7 linked regions of the Oryctolagus cuniculus genome follow. The protein of the gene in region 7 interacts with the protein of the main gene of each other region in a pairwise test. Links are inferred from orthologs where the notes say so. Each region holds a gene or a part of one and is shown on either strand. Other genes may lie near its edges. The genes, in order: DZIP1L, CNNM3, CCHCR1, TXLNA, ARMC7, PLEKHN1 and CBY2.

Region 1 (2,156 bases), on a different chromosome or scaffold from region 7:
TCCCTGGGGTGTGAGAGTGTGTCCACCCGAGCACTGTGACTTCACTGTCAGTGCTGCATTTTACAGGGCAGTCAGCCGTTTCGATGGGAGGTGGGCTTTGCCTAGGGATTTTGGTGCCGCTATGGCTAACCTCCCACCCCCTGACCCCACCCCCGGCCCCGTGCTCTGGGTGCACTCACGGTGGACCAGGCTAAGTTACAGTGGCGTTGGCGAAGTGAGCCGTGTGACATGATCTTTCAACAGCAGTATTTGCAGCTTGCGGTGGCTGTGCCAGGTGTAACCTGGTGTAAGTGGAGGGATATGTGGGGTCCATGCCTCTGAGGCGTGGTGGCTAGTTCCCAATCACAGAGCTGGTGTCGCAGCCAACCGAGGTTCTCTTTTATGTCCCTGAAGTAAGCGGGGTGGAGTCACTATTTATTTACTTGAAAAAGTAAAAGGGTTTTTTTCGGGGACGACTGCTTTGGGCTGGCTGTGCTCATCGTGAAACCAGCTCCAGTCTCTTATGCTGCCTGGGTTCTTGCGCAGCAGCGTGGGTGTGGGAGGTCAGAAGAGTGAAAGCAGCCTCCAGGCAAACCCAGGGAGAAAGATCTAAGGGCAGACGGGGTGCCAACAGTGAGCCTTTTAACAAACACGAGTAGTCTAACAAGTATGTGTTTTTGTATCGAAAGAGTAGTAAGAAATGTGCTTTCCTAGCGAATCTTGTGATGGCCCGGGCAGCCACACTCGGTTGCGGTGGGCAGCCTCCAGTCCCTGCCAGCGACCCGTGGACCCCAGGGGATCCTATTAGTCTTACAGGAAAGCTCTTTGACCTGTTCAGCAAGTAGACTTCGAAATTCACCTTGTGCGTGGAAAGGGCATCGTGGAGACTTATGCCAAGCATGATGGGACTTGGGATGCAAATATTCCTGAAACGTGACATTTCCTAACAGCCCACAGTGGCTCACTGAGCATTTTTCTTCCCAAAATGACCATGCCTACTCCCACTCTTTCAAGGTTTTCTTACAGAATGGCTCACCGCCGTCTCAGCTGCATTTTCTGGCTAAGACTGAACTAAAGAACATGCAGCTTATTCCAGGCCTCTGCTCACTCAGGGCGCACGCTGGCCCGGAACTTCTCTGTCTCTTACTCCTCTTCTCTGTGGTTGCCCTGCCTTCTCCCTCCTGTCCTCTGCACACGTCCTCTGTGCACCTGGAACCTGGACATGCCCCCCCCGCCCCCAGGACCGTTCCTTTTCTGGGCTTTCCCCCTGACAGGGCCGCTTGTCCGCCTTCCAGAAACCCTCGTGCAGTCCATGGTCCGGAATCTCGAGAAGCAGCTGGAGACGCCCGTGAAGAAGCCCTCAGGAGGGGTTAGTCTGTTCTCAAGGCCGAGCACTGGCCCACGGGGAGCGGCCCCGGCAGGAAGGAAGGCCCAGGTAGGCTGCAGGACACTCGGGGTTCCCTGTCATTCCCCACAGAGTCCTGGGCGGCATGGGGCGGGGGCTGGGGAGGGGCCGACACCTGCAGGTGCCCCCGTCTCCTCCCCCCCCCCTGCATGCGCACAGACAGAGACGGCCACTTGGGAATGCTTGTTGTGTGCGTGTTGACGTCAGAGCCTTCTGGTTCATCATGGAAACTGCTTGGTAGGTTTGGTACTCGTATCTCTGCCTCTGGGAGAGCCTGGAAATTGCCCGGCTGGCTTCCGGCAGTGGCTGCCCTCCTCCCACTCTGCCTACTCCCCAGTCCTCGCTCTGCCTGGGAGCCCAGCACTAGGCTGGGTGTAGGGCAGACTCCCCCGAGGGAGGTGCCGTGGCCTGAGCGTGCTTCGGCTCCTGCGCTCAGGGGGCACTCTGAACTCCCAGTTTATCAGGTACTGCTATTCAGAGGGCAGAGATAGCCTAACGATGGTGTTTGGAAGATGGGCCTTGGGGGAGGGCCTTAGGCTGTTGCGGGAGCGCCCTCAGAGGCAGTTCCGGTGGAAAGTTTGGATCAAAGCCTGGGTTGGGCCCAGCGCTGTCTATCTCCTGGCTCCCCCTGTGCCCCAGGCTCCACTGCTGCCCTCATCAGAGGCCAAGCTAAGGGGGCTGCCCCATTGTGGTCTTATTTATTTATTTTTCTTTTTTTAAGATTTATTTATTTATTTGAAAGCCACAATTACAGAAAGGCAGAGAGAGAAAA
Region 2 (4,168 bases), on a different chromosome or scaffold from region 7:
TCATCTTAAGAGTTTTTCACAAAATGTTTCCCCCTTGGTCAGACTCATTTTTGCACATTACTTTCCACACAGATATGTTTCACTTGATTGTGGCCACTCTGCGTACTTTTTAATTTTTTAAACAATTTTTTTTAAGTTATATGACTGGCAGAGACAGAGAAAGAATCTGCCATCCGCTGGTCCACTCCCTAAATGCTGCCAACAGCCAGGGCTGGGCCAGGAGGAGGCCAGACCTGGAAACTCAATCTGGATCGACCCATGTGGGTGGCCAGGACCCAAATCCTGGAGCCATCTTGCTGCCTCCCAGGGTGCAGATGATCAGGAAACTGGGATCGGGAGTGGAGCTGGGACTCAAGTCCAGATGCCTATATGGAATGTGGTGTCCCAAGGGGCTTCTTAACTGCCATGCTAAACATCTTCCCCTAAACTTATAAACTGTCGTTTTCATGACAGAGCAAGTTGGCACGGGGCTATCCGCCTTAAAAAAAAAAAAAAAAAAAAAAAAAACAAACAAACAAACAAAAAAAAAAAACACCGCAAAAGTGTAGAGAAGAAATAATACAGCTCAGCTGCAGGGGCCAGCCTGAATGCAGTTAGACTAGAAAGGCCGTGCGAGTTTCTCGGCCTCGGACTGACGGACTGCCAGGAGCCGGGCAGGGATTCCTGACATCGCGGCTACGGCGGTGGCGGTGGTGGCCGGGGCGTCCCGACGCCTCGGAACCCAACACGCCCGCGGAGTCTTCCTGGACTTCGCCTTTCTCCTGTCAGACACTAGTTACACCGAGTAGCTGTGAGGATCCAGTGAGGCTGGGATCTCGTGTGCACGTTTCCACCACACGTCTCCCCGGCGGGAAAGCGAGTTCCTTGAAGACAGGGCCTGTGTTGGCGTCCCGGGGCCTACAGCCGCAGTTAAACCTCGGCACAACCCCAGCCGCTGGTTCTGGCTCCCAGGGCCCGTTCCTAGGAAAACAGCACGCTCCCACTCGCTTCCATCTCCGTCAGCAACTTCAGGTACGCCGGGACCCGCGGCTCAGGCGAGCACCCGCTCCCGCTCAGTGCTCCAGTCCCGAGCAAGGGCCCGCGGCTCCCGCGAGGCCTCGGGACGGGTCGGAGGCCCTGCCCGCCCCGCCACGCCCCAGCTCGCGGCTCCGCGTCCTCCGAGAGCCGGCCACCCAGTGCCTTCGGAGCGGCGGCGGGGCTCGCTGGGGCGGAGAACCCCACGCCCCCGGCCCGCCCCGCGCCGCCGCTTGTTTACTCCCCGGCGCAGCCTAGTCCGACCCTAGGGCCCGCCCCCGCCCGCCGTCTATTGGCCGAGGGGGCGCGAAGGCCGGTCATGATTGGGCCGCGGGAGGCGGAGGCCGCGGGACGAGCGGGGTAGGCTGCGCGAGAGGCCGAGAGGGGGCAGCAGGCGATGGCGGCGGCGGCGGCGGCGGCGGGTCGGCTGGGCTGGTTGTTCGCCGCGCTCTGCCTGGGCAACGCCGCGGGGGAGGCGACGCCAGGTCTGCGAGTGTTGGGCTTCTGTCTGGAGGAGGACGGAGGAGCGGTGCGGGCCGCGCCGGAGGCCACCTTCCGCCTGCGCCTCTTCGGCTCCGGGTTCGCCAATAGCTCTTGGACCTGGGTGGCCCCGAAGGGGTCGGGCTGCCCCGAGAGTGGGTCGACCGCGGCGCCCGAGGAGGAGGCGGGGGCGGCCCCCACGGACGAGTGGCGCGCGCTGCTGTGCCTGCGCTCCGAGACCGTGCGCCCGCACTCGGCGCTGCTAGCTGTGCGCGTGGAGCCGGGCGGCGGGGCGGCTGAGGAGGCGGCGCCACCCTGGGCGCTGGGCTTGGGGGCGGCCGGGCTGCTGGCGCTGGCGGCGCTGGCGCGGGGCCTGCAGCTGAGTGCGCTGGCGCTGGCGCCGGCCGAGGTGCAGGTGCTTCGCGAGAGCGGCTCGGAGGCGGAGCGTGCGGCGGCGCGGCGACTGGAGCCCGCGCGGCGCTGGGCCGGCTGCGCCCTGGGCGCGCTGCTGCTGCTGGCCAGCCTGGCGCAGGCGGCGCTGGCGGTGCTGCTGTACCGCGCAGCCGGCCAGCGCGCCGTGCCCGCCGTGCTGGGCTGCGCGGGGCTGGTGTTCCTAGTGGGCGAGGTGGTGCCGGCCGCCGTGAGCGGGCGCTGGGCGCTGGCGCTGGCGCCGCGCGCGCTCGGCCTCAGCCGCCTGGCGGTGCTGCTCACCTTACCGGTGGCGCTGCCCGTGGGGCAACTGCTGGAGTTGGCGGCGCGCCCCGGGCGGCTGCGCGAGCGCGTTCTGGAGCTGGCACGCGGCGGTGGCGACCCCTACAGCGACCTCAGCAAGGGCGTGCTGCGCTACCGGACGGTGGAGGACGTGCTCACGCCGCTCGAGGACTGCTTCATGCTGGACGCCAGCGCCGTGCTGGACTTCGGCGTCCTGGCCAGCATCATGCAGAGCGGCCACACGCGCATCCCCGTGTACGAGGAGGAGCGCTCCAACATCGTGGACATGCTCTACCTCAAGGACTTGGCCTTCGTGGACCCGGAAGACTGCACGCCTCTGAGCACCATTACGCGCTTCTACAACCACCCGCTGCACTTCGTCTTCAACGACACCAAGCTGGACGCCGTCCTGGAGGAGTTCAAGCGAGGTAACGGCTGGGGCACCGCAGAGGGGATGTCCGTGCCCGAGCTTGGCCCTGGGGAAGGAGAGGGGGCTCATGGGGCCGTCGGGGAAAAGGCCCCACTCCTGGAGAGGGCAGGGGGCCCTCTAAGGGCCGGTTTTAAGAGGGTGGTCGCGTTGCAGATGGGAATGACCTTTTAAAGTGTTTAAGGACCCCGCCCTTCAGAGGGGACAGAGTGCCATGGAACGCAAACACCTCTCTTTCTCTCTCTCTCTCTCTCTCTCTCTCTCTCTCCACGGTGGCCCCCGTGTTGGGGACATACCTCTCACTGATTCTAAACCTCCCGGGTCTTCCCGGCTCCCAGGCCATTTCTGTTGTGCCTGGGGTCGGATGTAGCAGATTGAAACTCTTGGATAGAAACTAAAAGGACACGGAGAAGGTGGCTTCCAGATCCGGGCCTAGCTGCCCCTGTGGTGTCCCCAGGGCGTTGGTGGGGTCCCTGGCTGATGGCTGTTTTTCTGAGTGACAAGGGCATGACTCATCAGTACTCCTCCTTTCCTACAGGTATGGAGAGAACTTTCTCTTTGATTTCATCAGAAGCAGCTTCGTGGATGCTGATTTAATCTCTCCTTCCCCTGACTTCCCCTTTTTTTTAAACCTCCCCTCAGGGTCTCTCAGCTTCTCCTCTAGCTCCTTTTCACCCCTCCTTTCAACCCTGGCTTTTCTGAGTGACTCCAAGGTTGAAGGTAAAACAGGCCCTCAGCGTGTGAAATGTGGGTCCCTCTGCAGCCGTCTGCATTGTCAGCCTTGGGGGTGCTATGTGCTTCTCTCACCTGAACTCCCGCAGGATCGGGGTGGGGGCACCCCGTGCTGTGGACGGGCTGTTAGCACGTGAGCAGAGCCCTCCGACAGCCCTGGCAGGAGTGACCATGGTCCTCCTGCACTGGGCACAGCCTCGGGCCAAACCCTGGTAGGTGCGTTGCACTCCACATGTCTTTTAATTCTTGGACCCACAGCTGTGTCTGGTCTGGTGGACTCTCTGGGGGCCCTGGCTCCTTCCCTTCAACGTGGCCATGCAGCCCTACTCTGGGGAGGGCTTTTGTGTGGGGCCCAGACACAGCGTGCTGGTGGCAAGTACTCTGTCTAGATCCCAAACAGTGGGCTCTCTCGAGGCGTGGTGGTCAGCAGTGTGGCCCTGGAGTCAGCCAAGTGCGTTCCATCCTGCCTGGCCTGCACTGTGCTCCTGGGCCCAGGGAAGGCTGCCTGCCTCTCCCGGCTCAGGGTCCTCAGTGGTTAGCGATAGGAGGGGTAATGAGAGGATCGGGGAGAGGAGATGCGGGGCGCCGGGGCCTGGGTGTTCGTTGCTAGGAGGGTGATGATTGCTCACGGCTGGGAGCTCTGCAGATGGGTAGGTTCGCCTACTCCTGGGGAACCAGTAGCAGAGGTCACACTGCAAGTGCAGGCTTTATCCCTTCTGCGTAGGGAACTTGTATAGAGGCCACAGCTGTCCCTTTGATGGCCTAAGCTGTCACATTTCAAGGTGTCTTAAATGCTCGGCTCAC
Region 3 (2,872 bases), on a different chromosome or scaffold from region 7:
TAATCCATGTAATGCTACATGCCTGCTGCTAGATCTCGCATCTGCAATGCCGTGCCCGGTCCCTTCTTTTTTTTATTCTTAAAGAGTTATTTACCCATTTGAAGGTCAAAGCTACACAGAGAGAGGAGAGGCAGAGAGAGAGAGAGAGGGAGGAAGGGAGAGAGAGAGGTCTTCCATCCTCTGGTTCATTCCCCCAATTGGCTGTAACAGTCGGAGCTGTGCCGATCTGAAGCCAGGAGTCAAGAGCTTCTTCTGGGTTTCCCACGTGGGTGTAGGGGCCCAAGGACTTGGGCCATCTTCTACTGCTTTCCCAGGCCACAGCAGAGAGCTGGATTGGAAGTGGAGCAGCTGGACTTGAACCGGCGCCCATATGGGATGCTGGCACTGCAGGCAGTGGCCTCACTTGCTGTGCCACAGCGCCAGCCCCGGCCCGGTACCTTCTAAGGCAGTTGCAGCCCGTGTCCCTCATGCCGACTTGGTAGTCATGGCCTTGCTGAGGCTGTCATAGAGCCTTGGGAAAGAGCTGCTTCGTGCTAGTAGCGGCCTCCCCAGGCACCGGGGTCCTTGGGATGGGCGGTAGGCGGTCCGTGTGGAGCCCTTGGTGCGGTGCTGGTGTGTAGTTTGTGCTCTGACTGTCCACGGTCCTCACAGGGCTGTCCTGGATGCATCAGGGGAGTTCTGGGGGTCAGCAGGATGGGCCTTTGCAGCCACGGCCTTCTCTTGGATTCACTCCTTGGGAACCCATTGGCTTGAACAAACTGGGAGCCATTTGCAACCTGCTCCGCACCGGCCTGGGTATGCGAGCCAGCACCCAGATTCCGCCCGTTGCAGCTGCGCCTGCCTCCAGGAGAGCAGAAAGACAGGCCGGGGGCAGGGTTTCCTGTGGTGCCCAGGGGTCAGGCAGGGTTCTCGCTGAGTTCTTGCCAGAAAGCACCAACTTTGGGATGTTACCAGGTTGGCGACACAGTCCCTAGGTGACTCAATGGCTGTGTCAGAAGATGGATCTTAAAGTTTTTCTTAAATTTATTTTTTATTTGAAAACCAGAGAAACTGAAAGAGAGAGAGAAAGATAGCTCTTCTGTCTACCAGTTCACTTTCCAAATGCCCACAGCAGCTGGGGCTTAGCCTGGCCTAAGCCAGGAACCCAGAACTTGATGTGGGACTCCCACGTGGGTGGCAGGGACCCAAGTACCAGAGTTGTCACCTGCTGCGGCCTCCCATGGGGTGCACTGGCAGGAAGCAGAAGTTGGAAGTGAAGCTGGGACCTGAACTCATGTGCGATGCAGACGTCCCGAGAGGCGGCCGTGTTGTTGACCTCTGCTCCTCACACCCACCCCTGGAAGTGGCTTTAGAGCCACGGCCTGTGCTGGGCGCTCCCACCGAAAGGGTTCCTCGCTGTACTTGCTGTGGTCACCGCTTGTTTTTCCGTCTCCGAGGAAGCTCCAGGCCTGCCCCCGTTTTCCCCTTGGGCCTCCTCCCAGGGCTCCCAGCTGAAGCCCCTCAGTTTTCATGGGCCGTGCTGGTTCTGCTTCTGGGCCAGCAGCTGATGCCACTCACAGACCTGCCCTTCACGTGTCAGGGAAACCACACTCCTGGGCTTGTTCGAGAGCTGCGCAGCAGTGATCCAAGACCAGGTGGTGAGAAATCAGCTTTAGGGCCGGCGCTGTGGCGTAGCGGGTAAAGCCACGGCCCAGGAAAGCAGTAGACGATGGCCCAAGTGCTTAGGCCCCTTCACCCATGTGGGAACCCTAGAAGAGGCTCCTGGCTTCGGATCAGCCCTGTGGATGGAACCAGTGGATGGAAGAGTTCTCCCTGTATGTCTCTCCCTCTATTTCTGTAACTCTGCCTTTCAAATAAATAAGTAAATCTTAAAAAAAGAAAAAGAAAAGAAGCCCCGAGTTTGCCTGAAAAGATAAGGCAGTCGTCTGAGGCCTTCTTGAGGGGCAGGGGCTCCTTAGACATGGAAGCTTCGGGCCGTGTTCTTCCACCACAGACGTGGCGCGGCGTCCAGCGCCAGGAATCCCAGGCCCTGGAGACGGCCTCGTGGCCTGCAGGGGAGCGAGTGGCCATCAGGCAGAGACCAGGCCCTGCGGCGTTGTTGTCACTGAGCCCTTTACAGCCTGGGGCGCCCGGGGCCAGATGGGGCTCCTTGCACCTTGCTGTGTTGATTGCAGGGCTTTTATTGGGGACACTGGTTCTCAGGATCCAAATGAGAAGTTTACTCTGCATGGGTTGTGGGACCAGGAATAGCTGTGCTTTTTAAAATATTTTTATAAGCAACCAGATCGTATTTCTGTGACAGTCGCTAAAAGGCTAAAGCTCCTCCCAGGTTTTGTTTTAGCAGCTGCAGCATAGGGCATGAGGTTGGGGCACACGTGCCCCAGGTCCTACCCCTAGCCTCTCTTGTTTCCCTTCCCTGCTTCCCCCCACCCCCACCTGTGCGACAGTGCAGGATGGGGGGAGGGGTCTGTGCAGGCCCCAGGCCCTGTGGGGGTGAGGTGCGGGTCAGCGGTCAGCGGCCTGTGCTCCTCCAGCTCCCAGGTCTGCCTCCAGAGCACCATGGCTAAGGTGGAGCAGGCGGTGGCCCGGCTGCCCAGCCTCAGTAACCGACTCAGCTATGCCGTCCGCAAGGTCCACACTGTCCGCAGTGAGTTGGGGGTGGTGGTGGGCTCTGAGCTGCATCCTGGCCCAGCCCTCTGATCCCTCGGCCACTTCCTCCTCCTGCTCACCAGCCCACACGTTTCTGCTTCCCGGACTCCCCTTGCAAACTCAACCTGTCGCTTTCCATCTTTTCTCTCCAGGTCTCATGGCTCGAAAACTGGCCCTTGCACAGCTGCACCTGGAGAGGTAAAGTGTGGGCAGTGTGTGTGTG
Region 4 (3,495 bases), on a different chromosome or scaffold from region 7:
CGAGCTGTGGGGCCAGAGGTAGGAGTGCATTTACCACGTGGCGCTCCGGGAGCTGATTCCCTCCATAAACTCCTGTTTCCACCCCCGTCGGACTCTGGACGAGGAATGAGGTGAAAGGAGTTGGAGCCCACGGCCTGTGGTGTACATGGGGATCCAGCATGTCAGATTGAGCTGGGAGGCTGGGCCAGCTGTTCTGGCCTCTGCGGATGGCGCCTCAAGAGAAAGGGGGGTGCTGACGAGCCCGCCTCTCCGCTGTCTTTGCTGCAGCACATCGACAAAGTCTTCAAACACAAGGATCTGCAGCAGCAGCTGGTGGACGCCAAGCTCCAGCAGGCCCAGGAGATGCTGAAGGAGGCAGAGGAGCGGCACCAGCGGGAGAAGGACTTTGTGAGGCCCGGGCCCCGGGGCTGCGGCGGGAGGGCAGGAGGTGGGCTGGGCTCTGCTTTGGCTCAGAGTCAAGTCTGTGTGGATGGGGAGAGGTGGCTGCCTGGCCAGACCAGGCACTGCTTCCTTAGACATCAGTCAGAGGAAGCCTCGGTGGGTCCAATGCTTGTGGCTTAAAAAGGCCAAACACAGCCCCTGGGGGCTTCTGACAGGGTCTGGGCTCCTGTCTTGGAAATAGCTCCTGAAGGAGGCCGTGGAGTCCCAGAGGATGTGCGAGCTGATGAAGCAACAGGAGACCCACCTGAAGCAGCAGGTGAGACCGTGAACCTGACCCTGGGCCACAGGGTCAGGACCCCTCACTGGGTCCCTTCCTGGGGGGATGAAATGGGGCCCTCATTCTAGGCCTGGCCCTGCCCATCTGATCTGTGACCTTGGTGAGTCTGTTCTCTCTGGACCTGCCCAGCACCTGTGACCAGCACCTGGGACCAGGTGGTGAGATGAGCCCAGGGGTCTTTCTGCTGTGCTCAGAGGCGGAGTGTTTGATTTTGAGGAGATGGGGACAGAATGGTTTTCTTTCTTTCTTTCTTTCTTTTTTTGTTTTTTGTTTTTTGTTTTTGTTTTTTGACAGACAGAGTGGACAGTGAGAGAGAGAGACAGAGAGAAAGGTCTTCCTTTTGCTGTTGGTTCACCCTCCAATGGCTGCCACAGCCGGTGCACTGCACTGATCCGATGGCAGGAGCCAGGTGCTTCCTCCTGGTCTCCCATGCGGGTGCAGGGCCCAAGAACTTGGGCCATCCTCCACTGCCTTCCCGGGCCACAGCAGAGAGCTGGTCTGGAAGAGGGGCAACCGGGACTCAAACCCGGTGTGCCAGCGCTGCTAGGCGGAAGATTAGCCTATTGAGCCGCGGCGCTGGCCTAGAATGGTTGTTTCTTATCACACAAATTTTACTTGATTCTGGAGGAAAAATTTGAAAATAAATAGACAAGCAAAACATGTCACCTTAAATTCTGCTTCCCAGGCTTAGCATTTTGGCTTATATCTTTCCAGATATATAGTTCTGGTTTAGTTGTAAGGGAAAATGGATCTCAGTAGAATTGTTGGGTCGTAGTGCCCAGGAGGTCTGAGTGTGTTGACCAGAAGTGCCTTCCAGAGAAGCCCAGTCTTACCGCGGGCCTCTTTCTCACGCAGCTTGCCCTATACACAGAGAAGTTTGAGGAGTTCCAGAACACTCTTTCCAAAAGCAGCGAGGTGTTCACCACATTCAAACAGGAAATGGAAAAGGTAAGGAAGCTTTGGCCAGCTGTGGCTCCCCGGATGCAAGCTGCTTCATCAGATCAAACCCTGTGCCTGCCTTGGGGAAGCCCCCACCCAGTGTGCCTCCCCAGGAGCTGTTCCCAGCAGCTGAGATTGATAGCAAAGATGGGCCACTGGGCGCCATCACAGCCTTCCTCTGTGCGCGCCCTCCTGGCTCTGCCTTTGCCTGGCAGTCTCGTCATTTGTTCTTTTTCTTAAAGACATGACTGAGGTGGAGCAGATTGGGTTCTTTCATTTTTTTTGTTTGTTTTTGTTTTTTAAGACTTACTTTATTTGAAAGGCAGAGTTGGAGTGAGATCTTCGCTCTGCTGTTTTGCTTCCCAGGTGGTAACAACCAGGGCTCAGCCAGGACTGGGCCAGGCTAAGCCAGGAGCCAAGAACTTCATCCACATCTCCCACATGGGTGGTAGGGTTTCAAACTGGGCCATCTTCCACTGCTTTCCCAGGCGCATTAATGGAACTATATCGCAAGCAGAGCAGCCAGGACTCAAACCAGTGCCCATAGGGATGCAGGCATCTCCAGCAGTGGCTGAATGCCACAGTGCCAGCCCCAAGTCTGGTCATTTCTTGTTATTGATAGTGGACATTAGAGACTTCCAGGTGACAAGGCGGCCCAGAAGGCATTATAACTGGGCCCTGAAATGCCTTGCACTTTGGGGTTGTTCCCCACCTCTGAGATGTGGCTGTGCCAGCAGCCCAGCTCTCACCATTTCCTCCCATCTGTCTCATAACCCAGATGACAAAGAAGATCAAGAAGCTGGAGAAAGAGACCACCATGTACCGTTCCCGGTGGGAGAGCAGCAACAAGGCCCTGCTTGAGATGGCTGAGGAGGTGAGTCCTGTCGGATCGGAGGCAGGGGTCTGCGTGCGCAGCTACCACGTATCAGGCCTTTCTCTGCCCGTCGGCAGTGTGCCTGGAGTGAAGTAGAGCCGGGACTCAGACACACTATCCAAGTAAAAGCAGTGCCAGCACTCTCCCCTCACGGCTGTGCAGTGGAAGCAAAGGGAACAAGTGGAAAACGGGAATGGAGAGGCAGAAAGCGACAGCAGTGGGCGGGGAGCAGCGAGAGGCACACTTTGCACGCAAGGCAGCCTAGATAATTTGAGATTTCGTGGCTGGCAGTGCGGGAACAGGAAATGACACTGGAGCAGCAGCTGCAAGCCAGACCTCACTAAGTGTTGTACATAGGCCAGTTCATTGAGCACTCTCTTGAGACCTGAGGTTGTGTTAGCAGTCCTGTTTTACAGATGAGATAGGCTGAAAAGCTAGTACTTTGCCAAGGTCATCTGGAATACATTGTCTGCTCTCCAAGCCGGGTCCCTTCTCTGCACCTCACTGCTGCCAGTTGACAGCCAAGTTGTGACATAAACTAGCTCTGATATTAGAAGGGACTGACTTTATAGACTCTGGTCTGCTCCCAACCTTGGGGAAGTGTTTGCTACCAGGTGGTGCTGATGGGGAGATTGACAGGATGGCACTGAAGATCCCGTTTTTCCCCCTAGAAAACACTCCGGGACAAAGAGCTGGAAGGCCTGCAGGTGAAAATCCAGCGGCTGGAGAAGCTGTGCCGGGCACTGCAGACAGAGCGCAATGACCTGAACAAGAGGGTGCAGGACCTGAGTGCCGGTGGCCAGGGCGCCGTCTCCGACAGTGGTCCTGAGCGGAGGCCAGAGCCCGCCACCACCTCCAAGGAGCAGGGTGTCGAGGGGCCCGGGGCTCAAGTACCCAACTCTCCAAGGGCCACAGACGCTTCCTGCTGCACAGGTGCACCCAGCACAGAGGCATCAGGCCAGAC
Region 5 (3,324 bases), on a different chromosome or scaffold from region 7:
GACTCCGGGCCCTGGGGGAGCAGCAGAAGAGGGCACTGTGCCCTCTTGCTGGGGAAGGTCCGGAAGCCCACTTCTCTTTTTGAGTCTCCAGAGAAACAGGGAAGTGGGTGGGGCTGGACCTCCTGCTCCTGATTGGTCCATCAAGACTCCTTGAATATCTTATGTAAATGAGCTGAGACAGGGCTCCCTCCAACTGAGCAGGAACCTAGAGGTGGGGGCGGGGCAGTGGCAGGAAGCTGAGTTGATGCGCAGGAAGCCCTCTTCCAGCATTGAGTAACCAGTGCTAAGCACTGAGCCTCTAGACAAGGCAGCATCTGTCCCCAGGGCGGGGGGGGGAGGTGATTGAGTTGAGGCTGCCTGAGCTGAGAGCAAGGGGGAGGGGTCTGCTCACACCTCCTGAGTACATGGGTTCCTTCTGGAGCCTTCCCTGCTTCTCCCAGGGTCCCAGCAGCAGTGGCACCGGCCAGGGGGATGAGTTGCCCTCATGGGAATGGCACTAAATGCCGCAGTGCGGTCGTCCACCTGCAGCCGCTGCTCTCCACCGCAAGGTGATGCAGTGTTCATGGACTGGCTGGCACAACGGCCAGGAGAGGCCCCTTCTCTGTTAGAGATTCGTGTGCATTCACAGGCTTCAAGATTATGGGATGAAAAATAGATGACTGGAGGGTAGGAGTAAGCTGCTTTAGCCGCTGTTTAGTAGGTGTGTTGAGGTATGACTGATGTAAGTGGTCCATATTTGAAGGGTACAATTTGATAAGCTTTGACATGTAAAAACCATCACTTTACCTATGTATAAAAATTCTTCTAAAGTGATGGTGGGCGAAGTATTGTGTGTTTTTTGTTTAAAGATTTATTTATTTATTTGAAAGGCAGAGTTACAGTGGCTGGAGGGTGGACGATAGATGTCCCATCCACTGGCTCACTCCCCAAGTGGCCACAACAGCCAGAGCTGGGCCAAGCCAAAGCCAGGAGAGCCAGGAGCTTCATCCGGGTCTCCCACGTGGGTGGCAGGGCCCAGGTACTTGGGCCATCCTCCAGCGCTTTCCCAGGCACATTAACAGGGAGCTGGGCCAGAAGTGGAACATGTAGCAGTTTAACCCATTACACCACCACAACAGCCCCATTGATTTTATCTTTAAAAAAGAAAAACATGTCAGCCATCAAGCTGGATGAACCAAGAGGGAACGGGAATTTTGCCCACTTCAGAAGTCCTTTCTGGAACCTTTGAGAGAGAGGACAGGAGAGCACACAGACTCTGGATCCTGGCTCCAGGGCCAGCCTCTCACAGGCCTGGGTCCTTCCCGGGACTCCGTGGGCAGGGAGGCTTGGGGAGCAGAGATGGGAGGAAGCCCAGGGCTGCAGCCCAGACTGTCTTGCTCTCTCGCAGGAGGCCTCTGCAACCTGTGCCCGGACAGAGCCAACAAGGAGCACATCCTGCAGGCGGGGGGCATCCCGCTCATCACCAACTGCCTGTCCAGCACCAACGAGGAGACGGTGCTGTCCGCTGTCACCACGCTCATGTACCTGGGCTCGCCGGGCGCCGGCTGCCACCCGGAGCTGACCGCCATGCCTGTGGTCCAGTGCATGCTGCGCTTCTCTCTCTCGGCCAACACAAGGCTCCGGAACCTGGCCCAGATCTTCCTGGAAGACTTCTGTTCCCCAAGCCAGGTGGCCGAAGCCCGCAGCCGGCAGGCCCACTCCGCCCTGGGCATCCCACTGCCAAAGTCCGAGGCCCCACAACAGCCCTGATCTGAAGCAGCCCCTGGGCGGCAGCAGCTTACTGCCAGACACCATGGTCGTGGGGCAGGGAGCAGGCGGGGAGCAGGCGGGGAGCAGGCAGGGAGCAGGCGGGGAGCAGGCGGGGAGCAGGCAGGGAGCAGGCGGGGAGCAGGCAGGGAGCAGGCGGGGCCGGCTCCCCTGGGCACGCTCTGCCAGGACTGTGCTGTCTCAGCCACTTCACAGGTGAGTTTCGCAGCACGACAGATACTCTGATGAGAGGGCACTAGGGCAGGAAGCCAGACTCGGGGACACATGGAGACGGACGCCAAAGCTGACGCCGTCTGCACAGGCTGGCGCTGCCGCACTGCTAGGTCCCTGGGTCCAGAGGCTTTCAGAGGGGCAGGTTCTGAGCCGGAGGCAGAGAATTGCCTGCACTTGAAGAAATAAGGGCCTGCAGTCATTTTGAGGAACAGAAATGATCTGTGGGCATAAGAGCACGGGCCCCAGGGAGCCGGGGGCGTCACACCTCCTCCAGGGCTGCGCTGAGATGGACCCCTCCCGTCCAGCTCCCAGGCTGGCACCCAGGCGTGGCAGTCGCCGAGCTGGGTGCAGGATGACGTCCTGCTGTCTGCCAGACATCATGGAAGGGACTCCGAAACGAAGGCGCGGTCCCTGCCCTCGAGTGACAGCCGTGACTGTTAACGTGGCATCAGGACCAAGGCCGTGCGGGTGACGCCGCCTCAGGACAAAGGCAGAGCTGTTGGAGCTCAGTCTGTGCCCTCACCACCCGCGCCCCCCCCACACAGTGAAGGGGGGCCCTCACCCCTGGAAGTACCCCACGCCCCCCCACATACACATGGTGAAGGGGGGCTCTCACCCCTGGAAGCACCCTGCACCCCCCCCGCACAGTGAAGGGGGCCCTCACCCCTGGAAGTGCCTCCGAGGCAGGGACTGGAGACATTCAGGAAACGTGGGGCCAGAGTGGTGCCCAGGCGGGCGTGGCACTGAGGCAGGTTCTGCAATCTGCACTCGGGAGAAGGGACGGAGGGGAGCCATCCTCAGCCCCGTTCCAGCTGCTCCCCAATAAAAGGTCTCCAAAGACAGAGTCAAAGTTTTTTATTAAAAGCGTCATGACTGCTCTTCCCACTGTTCCCATGCCAGCCCGGCACTGGGTGCAGCCATCCCTGGAGATGCCAGCTGGCCGGGCCTGCACCAGTGTCTCCCTGGCGCTGGTGCCACTGGCTCCAGGGGGCTTCCCTGCGGCCACTGTCCACACGGGCCTGTTCACTGCCGGCCGGCTCTGCGCTTGCTGTCTATGATCTCCCTCCAGTTGTCGCTCCAGGAGAGCAGCCGCCGCCTGGTCGGGGGCAGGGCCAGGTGCCGATTGTGGCAGCAGGTGAACAGGATGTGCTCCCAGCTGGGGGTCTCCTCGTGGCCTAGGACAGGGGAGCGGCCAGCAGGTGACCGGTAAGCTGGTTATTTTTACTCCCGCCCCCTAATCCTGGCCGGCCAGAGGCCTGGGGTTGCCAAGGATAAACGGTCCAACCTTGAATGGTGTCCTTGTCATCAATGAGCAGGTCCCCCAAGACCACGGTCTTGTCCCGC
Region 6 (4,093 bases), on a different chromosome or scaffold from region 7:
GTACGTGGCGGGGGGCAACGACGGCACCAGCTGCCTCAACTCGGTAGAGAGGTACAGCCCCAAGGCCGCAGCCTGGGAGAGCGTGGCGCCCATGAGCATCCGCAGGTGGGTCTGCGGGCCAGGGTCGGTGGTCAGGGCTCACCCTGCGCTGCCCCGGGGCTAACCCCCGCCACCCCCAGGAGCACGCACGACCTGGTGGCCATGGACGGCTGGCTGTACGCCGTAGGGGGCAACGACGGCAGCTCCAGCCTCAACTCCATCGAGAAGTACAACCCCCGGGCCAACAAGTGGGTGGCCGCGTCCTGCATGTTCACCCGGCGCAGCAGTGTGGGCGTGGCCGTGCTGGAGCTGCTCAACTTCCCGCCCCCGTCCTCACCCACGCTGTCTGTGTCCTCCACCAGCCTCTGAGCCCCGGCGCCCCGCACGGAGGCCTCCCACGTGCCTTACGCCCCCTCTCCCGGCCCCCCGCGCCGTCTGTCAGTGTCTCGGTGTTCATCTCTGTGTGTGCCGTTTATTTATTGGTTATTTATTGGTTTATTATTTATTTGCGGATGAGCCGTTTGTTTACTTTTAAAGCGTCGCCGTCCTTTGGGTCTGGGGACCGAACCACCCTGGGTGACCTCCTGAGAGCCTATGCTGGGGGGAGGGCCAACCCTGGCCTGCTCTGCACACCGCCTGCTCCTGGCCTCGGGGTGCCGTCCCCATGTCCTGGGTCTCGTGCCAGGCTGGGCACACAGATCCTACACAGCAATACAGCCGATGTGGACAATAAACGTGTTTCTGGGGCTCCATGGGCTTGCGGCTGAGTGTCCATCCCTGGCCCCCTCTGTCCCCATGTCCTGCTCTGTGGGTGGGGTGCAGTGGGCTGTGAGGCCCCAGTGGCTGGCTGCCCACGCCCAGGCCTGGGTGCAGCTGCCTGCGCAGAGTGGGCCCCGGCTCACCCTTACATCCTGGGCACCTTTGGGATATGGATTGCAGCCTGGGGTTGGGGGCGGGGGGACAGGTCCTGGTTTCCCCTCCCCTCCCTGCTGCTAGCACACCCTAACCCTATCTCCCCTCAGCAGTGACTCAGACCACCTGGGGTTTATGTGGAAACAGAATGTTGGGGGGCGGAGCTGGAGGCTGAGATGAGGCCTCGCCTCTCTGGGGAGGTGGCCCCTGGCCTCACACCTGAGGCTGGCTGCGGGAGCCAAGTCCCTCCCAGAAGGGCTCCTCCCAGCCTGGCTCTCAGGTAGGGGTAGGACCGCCCAGAGCCCCGCCCCCTGGGCAGGGTGGGGGCTGGAGGCTCAGGACAGGGACCCAAACTCGGCGCCCTGCTCAGCCTTGGCTGGTCACTGCCACCCATGGGGAACAGCCAGTGCGTCCCCCAGGCCCCCAGGAGGCTCCGGGCGTCCTTCTCCAGGAAGCCGTCACTCAAGGGAAGCAGGTGAGAGGCGGGGCTGGGGCCCCCTGGGTCTGTGCCCAGCTGGCCGGGCTCTGAGCCCCTGGGCTTGTCCACAGGGAGGACGGCCGCAGGCAGCTGGCCAGCCTGCTTGGCGCCGGGGACAGCGCAGCCGACAGGATCTTCCACTACCTCCCTGGGCCGGTGAGCACCCCTCTGTTGCCATGTCCCCGCGTGTGGGCGACTGTGTACTGTGCGGTGCCTGGCTGGGGTCGGCCTTGGAGGGGGGCTGTGGCCCAGATCACAGTGGGAGGGAGAGGCAGCCCCGCCCTGGGGAGCTCCTGTCCCGAAAGTCGGGAGAGCGAAACTGAGGCGGGGCTGACTCAGAGATGAGCACCCCGCAGGGGCGGGCTGTGGGCGGGGCCTCCCTGCCACTGTACCAGGGTCTGGACTGCAGGCAGCTCGGGCTGGCCAGTGCCTGTACAGGGCCTCACGTACTGCAGGCGGCTGTCCACAGACCTGGTGGAGGGCACTGAAGCCCCCGTGGGACCAAGGGCTCCTCAGCAGAAACCCCATCCCCAGGTGGTGGTGGACTCAAGGAGGAACCAGGGACACGCCCACCGGGTGGGCAGGTTCCACCTGGTGCCTGGTTTCCCTGGCCCCCTCCCACTGCCCCTCGTGGCTGGGGAGCTTCTGCTGGCCGTGCCAGCCCTGGGTAGGGTCACCCCCTGGGCCGCATCTCAGACCCCAAGTCCATCTGTCCAGACCCACATTACATGGTCACCCCTGAGGGGCTCCCATAGTGTGCGGTCCCTACTGACCCTACCTTGCCAGGTCACAGCAGCTGGAGAGGGGCCTGGACCCGGGACGGGGGCCGCCCGGGGTGAGGGGATGAGCTCTAGGTAGTTACAGAGTGTTTTCTCCTGGCTGAGCCTCGGCTCCTGTGGTCAGCTCTGTGCCAGGCTTCGTCCCCTGTGCGGCGGGGACAGCTGTGTGGCCCTGCCCACGGATGTCCTGTTTTTCATGGGTGCTATCCTGGCATGAGCCCCCACTCGGCATGGGTGCAGGAGGCCCCACCCACAGGCAGGGAGGCTGGGGAAGCTGTGTCTGTCCGGCTGTCCGCATTCCTGGGCTTGTCCAAGAGGCAGCTTAGTTTGACCAGAGCACAGCTGCTGAGCAGGTAGCCCTTGCCTACACCCAGGGGCACGTGACCCCTGGCAGCGAGCCCCTCGGCCTCCGCAGCCCCAGCCGGGGCACAGGCCCTGGGGAGTGCCCAGTGGAGGGCTGTGTGAGCACCACCCTCCTGCCCGCCACTGGACACGTGGGCCTTGGCACCCCGCACATCCCAGCCCTGTCCCAGGTCCTAGGGTCACAGCAGCCAGGAAGACGGGCAGAGTGCCCAGTTGCCATGGCGTCTGGTTGTCACGGTGCTCCCATTGCCATGGCCAGACCGACGATGAGACACAGGAAGTCAGAGTGTGGCTGCCACGGAGGGGACAGTGGGAGAGGGGCTTACTGGGGTCTGCAGAAGCGGAGAGGGGCCCAGGTGGGGAGCTAGGGCTGAGTGGGCCTGTGCCTGCGTGGGGAGGCAGTGGGGAGGGGCACAGCTCCAGGAGAAGCCCTCCGACCACTGCCAGGATCCTGGCCTTTGCTGAGACCTGGGGTGCCCCATGGGGAGCTGGAGCAGCGGCACAGGCCGGCAGGGGCTGACCGGGTGGCACCCTTACTGCTGCGCCAGAGGCTTGACCAGGGCTGTGCCAGGAGTCGTGGCATCTCTGTGTTATCTGTGGGACTCTCCATGTGTGTTGTGTACTTACCCTGCACTGTGCTGCGTGAAAGGTGGTGGATAGGGTCTGCACCTGCACGTGTGTCCCTGTGCAGTGTGTGTATTCCCTGTGCAGGTGTGTCCATGTGCACCTGCACGTGTGTCCCTGTGCAGGGTGCATCCTTGTGCACATGTGCATGTGTGTCCCTGTGCAGGGTGCATCCTTGTGCACATGTGCATGTGTGTCCCTGGGCACATGTATATGTGTGTCCTCATGTACATGTGCATCTTTGTACATATATGCACGTGTGTCCCTGTGCACACATGCCCTTGTGCACATGGGGTGTGTCCATGTGTGCATCTCTGTGCATTGTGTCCTTGCGCGTGTGTGTCCCTGTGCAATGTGCATGTGTATCTTTGTGTATGTGTGTCCTTGTGCAGGTATGTGTCCATGTACACGTGTGCACGTGTGTCCCTAGACACGTGTGTCCCTGGGCACTTGTGCACGTGTGTCCTTGTGCATGTACATGTCCGTGTGTAACGTGCATGTGTGCATGCGTGTTTCTGTGCACATTATTGAGCTGCAGGTTAGTGTCTGTGGCCATGTGTCCCCCTGCTGGGCTGCTGGCTCTGGTCAGGCCGCATCCCTGAGCTCTGCCCCCTCAGGACACCCTGGACCCGGAGGACCAGGAAGAGAACCTGGAGCCACCCTTCCTGAGCGTGTACAAGAAGGCCAGGCGGAGGGTGCCCGTGAGGGCCCTGGGCAAGGTCGTGCACTACGCAAAGGTCCAGCTGCGGTCCCAGCACAGCCAGGTGGGGGCCGGGCTGGGGGGCCGCGCCCTGGGGCCCAGATGCCTTGAGGCCGGGCCCTTCCTCAGACCTGCAGCACTGCTCCCCCCAGGACACCAGCGACTGCTACCTGGAGCTGTTCCCTGCCCACCTCTACT
Region 7 (3,938 bases):
AAGACTTATAGAGCTAAGAGGTGACCTGGTGCAGCCAAGTGAGTATGGATATTGACCTGGTTCAAGATCCTGACTCCAACCCTACTATTACCTGAAGGGCTCTAGGAATTCCTGGTTCCCATACCTAGAAAATCTTACATTTGCGTGTCTTTGTGCTCAAAACATGATATGATCAATAGATCAATATTCAGTCAACACTTCTCCCCCTCTTTTCTCCTCTGCCAATGCTTACCTCCAATTGTGTGCACCATCTCATGTTGGGAGAGTTAGCAAACACATCATCTTTCTCACAGCACTAGTGGTGGTTTGCCCACTTCCTTCCTGCAGATGACTAGTCTACAGTATCCTGGAAGGTGCCTTCAACCTGCTTCCTGGTTGTGCTTCTTTGTCATGTGTACCCCTGAGGCCACATCTGTCCACATGGGGTACATGTGCCCAGATAATTGCTGAACATTTTCCTCACTGTACACCCACCCTGTCTTCCAACTGCCCAACAGCTGTACCAGGTCCTATAGCACAGAAAGTGGGTGGCCCCAGGACAAGCCAGGGACATAGTCTCAAGCCTCCTTTTCTCCTCCTTGATTGCTAGGATGTTTCTGGGAGTGGATAGGGGAAGTTGTGCTGGATATAGATAGAAGAATCTCTCCAATCTTTCTATCATGTGACCATCACTTATTTAAATCCTATTCCCACCCTCACTGTCACCTCCACCCCACCCTGGATTGGCATCTTCTACCCATCCTTTAACAATGGAAAGATTGAATTACACAGGCTATGAAGAATCAAAGGAGCAACACCGACCATCAAAAGGAATAGTGTCCAATGGAATTCCCTGTATACAACAGAAAGAATTGGACCTAGAAAGGTTCCTGTAGCTTATCATCATCCTGTCAAATGATCAGCAATGCTATATTCTGGCTAAGTCTCATGAGCTGAAACAGATAGAAAGTGTCTGTTACTTGCAGAGTTTTAAGGATAATGTGAAAACAAACATCCAGAATATTTTCTTGTCCTCTATTTGTGCCTCCTGCTGAACATACATGCCTAGATTGTTCAGTCACATACATAGAATGCCCACTGGTGACCCACCCTCCTACATGACTCTGGACAGAGCTGTCAGATAGTTACCTCTGCATTGGATCTCTCCATTCTACATTTCAACCCCTCTGACTGCATGCCCATGGTCTTCCAAAGGGGCCTTGAGTGACTCTGGGAGAAGCAAGGCCATGCCCTTTGTGACATAACAGCAGTAGAAACAATCCAATCAAGAGAACCCCACCAAGGAAACAGCCACTTGCAGGAGAAGACCTTAGAATCTCCAGCCTGTTGGCTGGTGCCGCAGCTCACTAGGCTAATCCTCCGCCTCGCGGCGCCGGCACACCAAGTTCTAGTCCTGGTAGGGGTGCTGGATTCTGTCCCGGTTGCCCCTCTTCCAGGCCAGCTCTCTGCTGTGGCCCGGGAGTGCAGTGGAGGATGGCCCAAGTGCTTGGCTCCCTGCACCCCACAGGAGACCAGGAGAAGCACCTGGCTCCTGCCATCGGATCAGCGCGGTGCGCTGGCCACAGCGCGCCAGCCACGGCGGCCATTGGAGAGTGAACCAACGGCAAAGGAAGACCTTTCTCTCTGTCTCTCTCACTGTCCACTCTGCCTGTAAAAAAAAAAAAAAAAAAAAAAAAAAAAAAAAAAAAAAAAAAATCCAGCCTGTCAGAACTGCACCTACACATTGTCCTAAAAAAACAAACAAGCAAAACAAACAAAACCATGCACGTATCCTTTATGCTCTCTCTTTGGTACACAGCAGGGCTTAATTCTATTGACATCTCCAAATGATACCTTAGCATCCAGTCAATGTGCTAGGTTTTCTCCTCATGGACTCATTCGTAAGCATTTGACCCCAAGCCCCAGGTCTACTTGTCCCCCTAGAAATCCAGAGTGCTAATACATCACCAAGCACCAAAGATCTCCCTTTGAGGATGAATATTTGATTGTTTTTTGTTTTTTTTTGTTTTCAGTCTAGCATAGAAACTTGAAATGTTAGGGTGGCCAGGTCATCTAATTCACACTCCTCGTATGAGAGAAGAGGAACCCAAGGCCCACAGAGGCCATGTTTCCTCCCCCAGGCACAGAATGGGTGGGTGGTCAAATGCACAACTAGAATCGGAGGCCTTGACTCTTCAGCTTACTCCACATCAGGCTGGAGTTTTGGAAGAGGAGTGTTATTCTGCCTTAAACGGGCAGATTTCATCCTTCTGTGATTAATCCTACCTGAGGCAGAACCACATTGATTGGGATTTCTAGGCTTTCAGATCTGGTATCTCGTTTTCTTGTAAAATTTGGCCTCGAGTGCTGTAGAAAAGAGAAAAGAGGAAAATTTCTGTTGCCCAACCCACCCTCTGGGCCTCCATTGCTCATCTGACAATTATAGGACTTTCTACTCATTTATTTGCTTCTTGTCAATTAGGTACATTATGAAAATCTGCATCTGCAAATGTGTGTGGACAATCTCTGATATTTTATTAAACAAATTCATACAGATACTATAGCTGATGTCTTTGAAGCACTGATTGCTAATATCTACATCCTTGTGTAAGACTACTGTTTCCCTCCCAAGCAAAAAGCCATACCAATGTGAGGTGCCAGGTATAGGTCCTGTGCAGAAGTTGGTCACCAAAACACTCAGAACATTCCAGAGGTGACATCACAAAACAATATGGTGTTCTGCAGGGCTCATGGTTTCTCTCTGAGCGTCACAGGTGGGAACGAAGCATCTGGCAGGTAGGAAGAGTTTTGCAGCATCTGTGACCACGTGGCTAAGTAGGGTCAGTGTGACACACAATACCCCAAACACCAGGCCCTGATTGGTCATCCCCACTGCCAGGCCGTCCTCTCTCCAGAAGGGGCATTATCTACTTGTAGTTGTATTGCTCAAGAAGAAATACCAACTGAATTCCCAGACCAAAGGAGGAAAGAGGGACTCAGGAGCTTTGTGGCACCACTTGATTCCCCAGGGCTGTCACCAGTGGACGCCCTGAAACCATCGACCTGGAGCGAGTGCCAGATCCCAGAGGTTAGGTGCTCAGTCCCACCAAGCTGCCTTCACCTCAGATGCCACTTGTACCATTGACTGATCAGCTATAAACCAGGAGTTCCATGACCCCTTCTTTGGCTTCAATAATTTGCAAGAATGGCTCACAGAACTCAAGAAAACACTTTACTTATGATGACCATTTTCTTATAAGGGGCACAACTCAGGAACACCAAATAGACGGGATGCACAGGGAAGGTATTGGGCATTGAGGGTGGTGTGGAGTGGCCGTGCCAGCCCTGGGCAGCCACTCTCCCAGCACGTCCACGTGTCCTCCCACCAGGAAACTCTCTGAACCCCACTGTTGAGGTTTCATTACACAGGCGTGGTTGTTTAAATCTCCAGCCCCTCCCCCCTTCCTAGAGGTAGGGGTTGGGGGGTGGTGATGAGAGTTTCCTCTTTTTAATCACATGGTCAGTTTTTCTGGCGGCAGCCCCCAGCCTTCAAGGGTTGCCTCATTAGCTGAAACTCAGGTGTGTTCCAAAGGGGCTCATTATGAATAACAAAAGACACAGAGGAAATGCCAAGGATTTTAGGAGCTCTGTGCCAGGAATCAAGGACAAAAGCAGAGTTTATTTTCTTATTATACCACGGAGGTAACAGCATCAAGACCACAATGCCCCATGCCCTGGCCTCACTTCGGGCAAATCATTCACCACTAGAGGCTGTTCATGGGAGCCTTTTCTTGTACCGTAAGCCAGTGGCACACCCCAACCCTACGTGCAGTAAGAAGGGAATGACGGACCAGAGGCAGCAGATCCTGAGACACCAGCCAGAACCACCTTTTTGAGTCCCCCACACCCAAATTTACAAGAAAGCTTTGCTTTAAGACCTAACATGCGGCCGGCGCCGT

What was found.
Region 1: the proteins of CBY2 (region 7) and DZIP1L interact in binary tests that used the Homo sapiens proteins (3 or more experiments, as listed by UniProt). The two-hybrid records come from large-scale screens. The link is inferred for Oryctolagus cuniculus from reciprocal best matches to the Homo sapiens genes CBY2 and DZIP1L.
Region 2: the proteins of CBY2 (region 7) and CNNM3 interact in binary tests that used the Homo sapiens proteins (3 or more experiments, as listed by UniProt). The two-hybrid records come from large-scale screens. The link is inferred for Oryctolagus cuniculus from reciprocal best matches to the Homo sapiens genes CBY2 and CNNM3.
Region 3: the proteins of CBY2 (region 7) and CCHCR1 interact in binary tests that used the Homo sapiens proteins (3 or more experiments, as listed by UniProt). The two-hybrid records come from large-scale screens. The link is inferred for Oryctolagus cuniculus from reciprocal best matches to the Homo sapiens genes CBY2 and CCHCR1.
Region 4: the proteins of CBY2 (region 7) and TXLNA interact in binary tests that used the Homo sapiens proteins (3 or more experiments, as listed by UniProt). The two-hybrid records come from large-scale screens. The link is inferred for Oryctolagus cuniculus from reciprocal best matches to the Homo sapiens genes CBY2 and TXLNA.
Region 5: the proteins of CBY2 (region 7) and ARMC7 interact in binary tests that used the Homo sapiens proteins (3 or more experiments, as listed by UniProt). The two-hybrid records come from large-scale screens. The link is inferred for Oryctolagus cuniculus from reciprocal best matches to the Homo sapiens genes CBY2 and ARMC7.
Region 6: the proteins of CBY2 (region 7) and PLEKHN1 interact in binary tests that used the Homo sapiens proteins (3 or more experiments, as listed by UniProt). The two-hybrid records come from large-scale screens. The link is inferred for Oryctolagus cuniculus from reciprocal best matches to the Homo sapiens genes CBY2 and PLEKHN1.

Annotation. Positions count from the first base shown.
Region 1 is NC_091435.1:143,622,615-143,624,770, forward strand, and holds part of DZIP1L (cilium assembly protein DZIP1L), read left to right. Parts: intron 1-1,274; coding exon 1,275-1,414; intron 1,415-2,156. UniProt on the Homo sapiens protein: Involved in primary cilium formation. Probably acts as a transition zone protein required for localization of PKD1/PC1 and PKD2/PC2 to the ciliary membrane.
Region 2 is NC_091433.1:110,906,312-110,910,479, reverse strand, and holds the start of CNNM3 (metal transporter CNNM3), read left to right. Parts: upstream 1-1,368; 5' UTR 1,369-1,411; coding exon 1,412-2,633; intron 2,634-4,168. UniProt on the Homo sapiens protein: Probable metal transporter.
Region 3 is NC_091436.1:139,347,023-139,349,894, forward strand, and holds part of CCHCR1 (coiled-coil alpha-helical rod protein 1), read left to right. Parts: intron 1-2,534; coding exon 2,535-2,647; intron 2,648-2,801; coding exon 2,802-2,847; intron 2,848-2,872. UniProt on the Homo sapiens protein: May be a regulator of keratinocyte proliferation or differentiation.
Region 4 is NC_091438.1:140,262,502-140,265,996, reverse strand, and holds part of TXLNA (alpha-taxilin), read left to right. Parts: intron 1-267; coding exon 268-387; intron 388-622; coding exon 623-697; intron 698-1,573; coding exon 1,574-1,666; intron 1,667-2,435; coding exon 2,436-2,531; intron 2,532-3,202; coding exon 3,203-3,495. UniProt on the Homo sapiens protein: May be involved in intracellular vesicle traffic and potentially in calcium-dependent exocytosis in neuroendocrine cells.
Region 5 is NC_091448.1:5,391,084-5,394,407, reverse strand, and holds the end of ARMC7 (armadillo repeat-containing protein 7), read left to right. Parts: intron 1-1,387; coding exon 1,388-1,749; 3' UTR 1,750-2,824; downstream 2,825-3,324. Other genes in the region: NT5C (5'(3')-deoxyribonucleotidase, cytosolic type), read right to left, coding at 3,004-3,155, 3,266-3,324. UniProt on the Homo sapiens protein: As a component of the minor spliceosome, involved in the splicing of U12-type introns in pre-mRNAs.
Region 6 is NC_091438.1:164,381,874-164,385,966, reverse strand, and holds the start of PLEKHN1 (pleckstrin homology domain-containing family N member 1), read left to right. Parts: upstream 1-1,293; 5' UTR 1,294-1,343; coding exon 1,344-1,426; intron 1,427-1,500; coding exon 1,501-1,585; intron 1,586-3,812; coding exon 3,813-3,959; intron 3,960-4,047; coding exon 4,048-4,093. Other genes in the region: KLHL17 (kelch-like protein 17), read left to right, coding at 1-105, 180-806. UniProt on the Homo sapiens protein: Controls the stability of the leptin mRNA harboring an AU-rich element (ARE) in its 3' UTR, in cooperation with the RNA stabilizer ELAVL1.
Region 7 is NC_091440.1:64,764,465-64,768,402, reverse strand, and holds the start of CBY2 (protein chibby homolog 2), read right to left. Parts: upstream 2,801-3,938; 5' UTR 2,700-2,800; coding exon 2,625-2,699; intron 2,347-2,624; coding exon 2,266-2,346; intron 1,258-2,265; exon of another isoform or gene 1,243-1,257; coding exon of another isoform or gene 1,129-1,242; intron 1-1,128.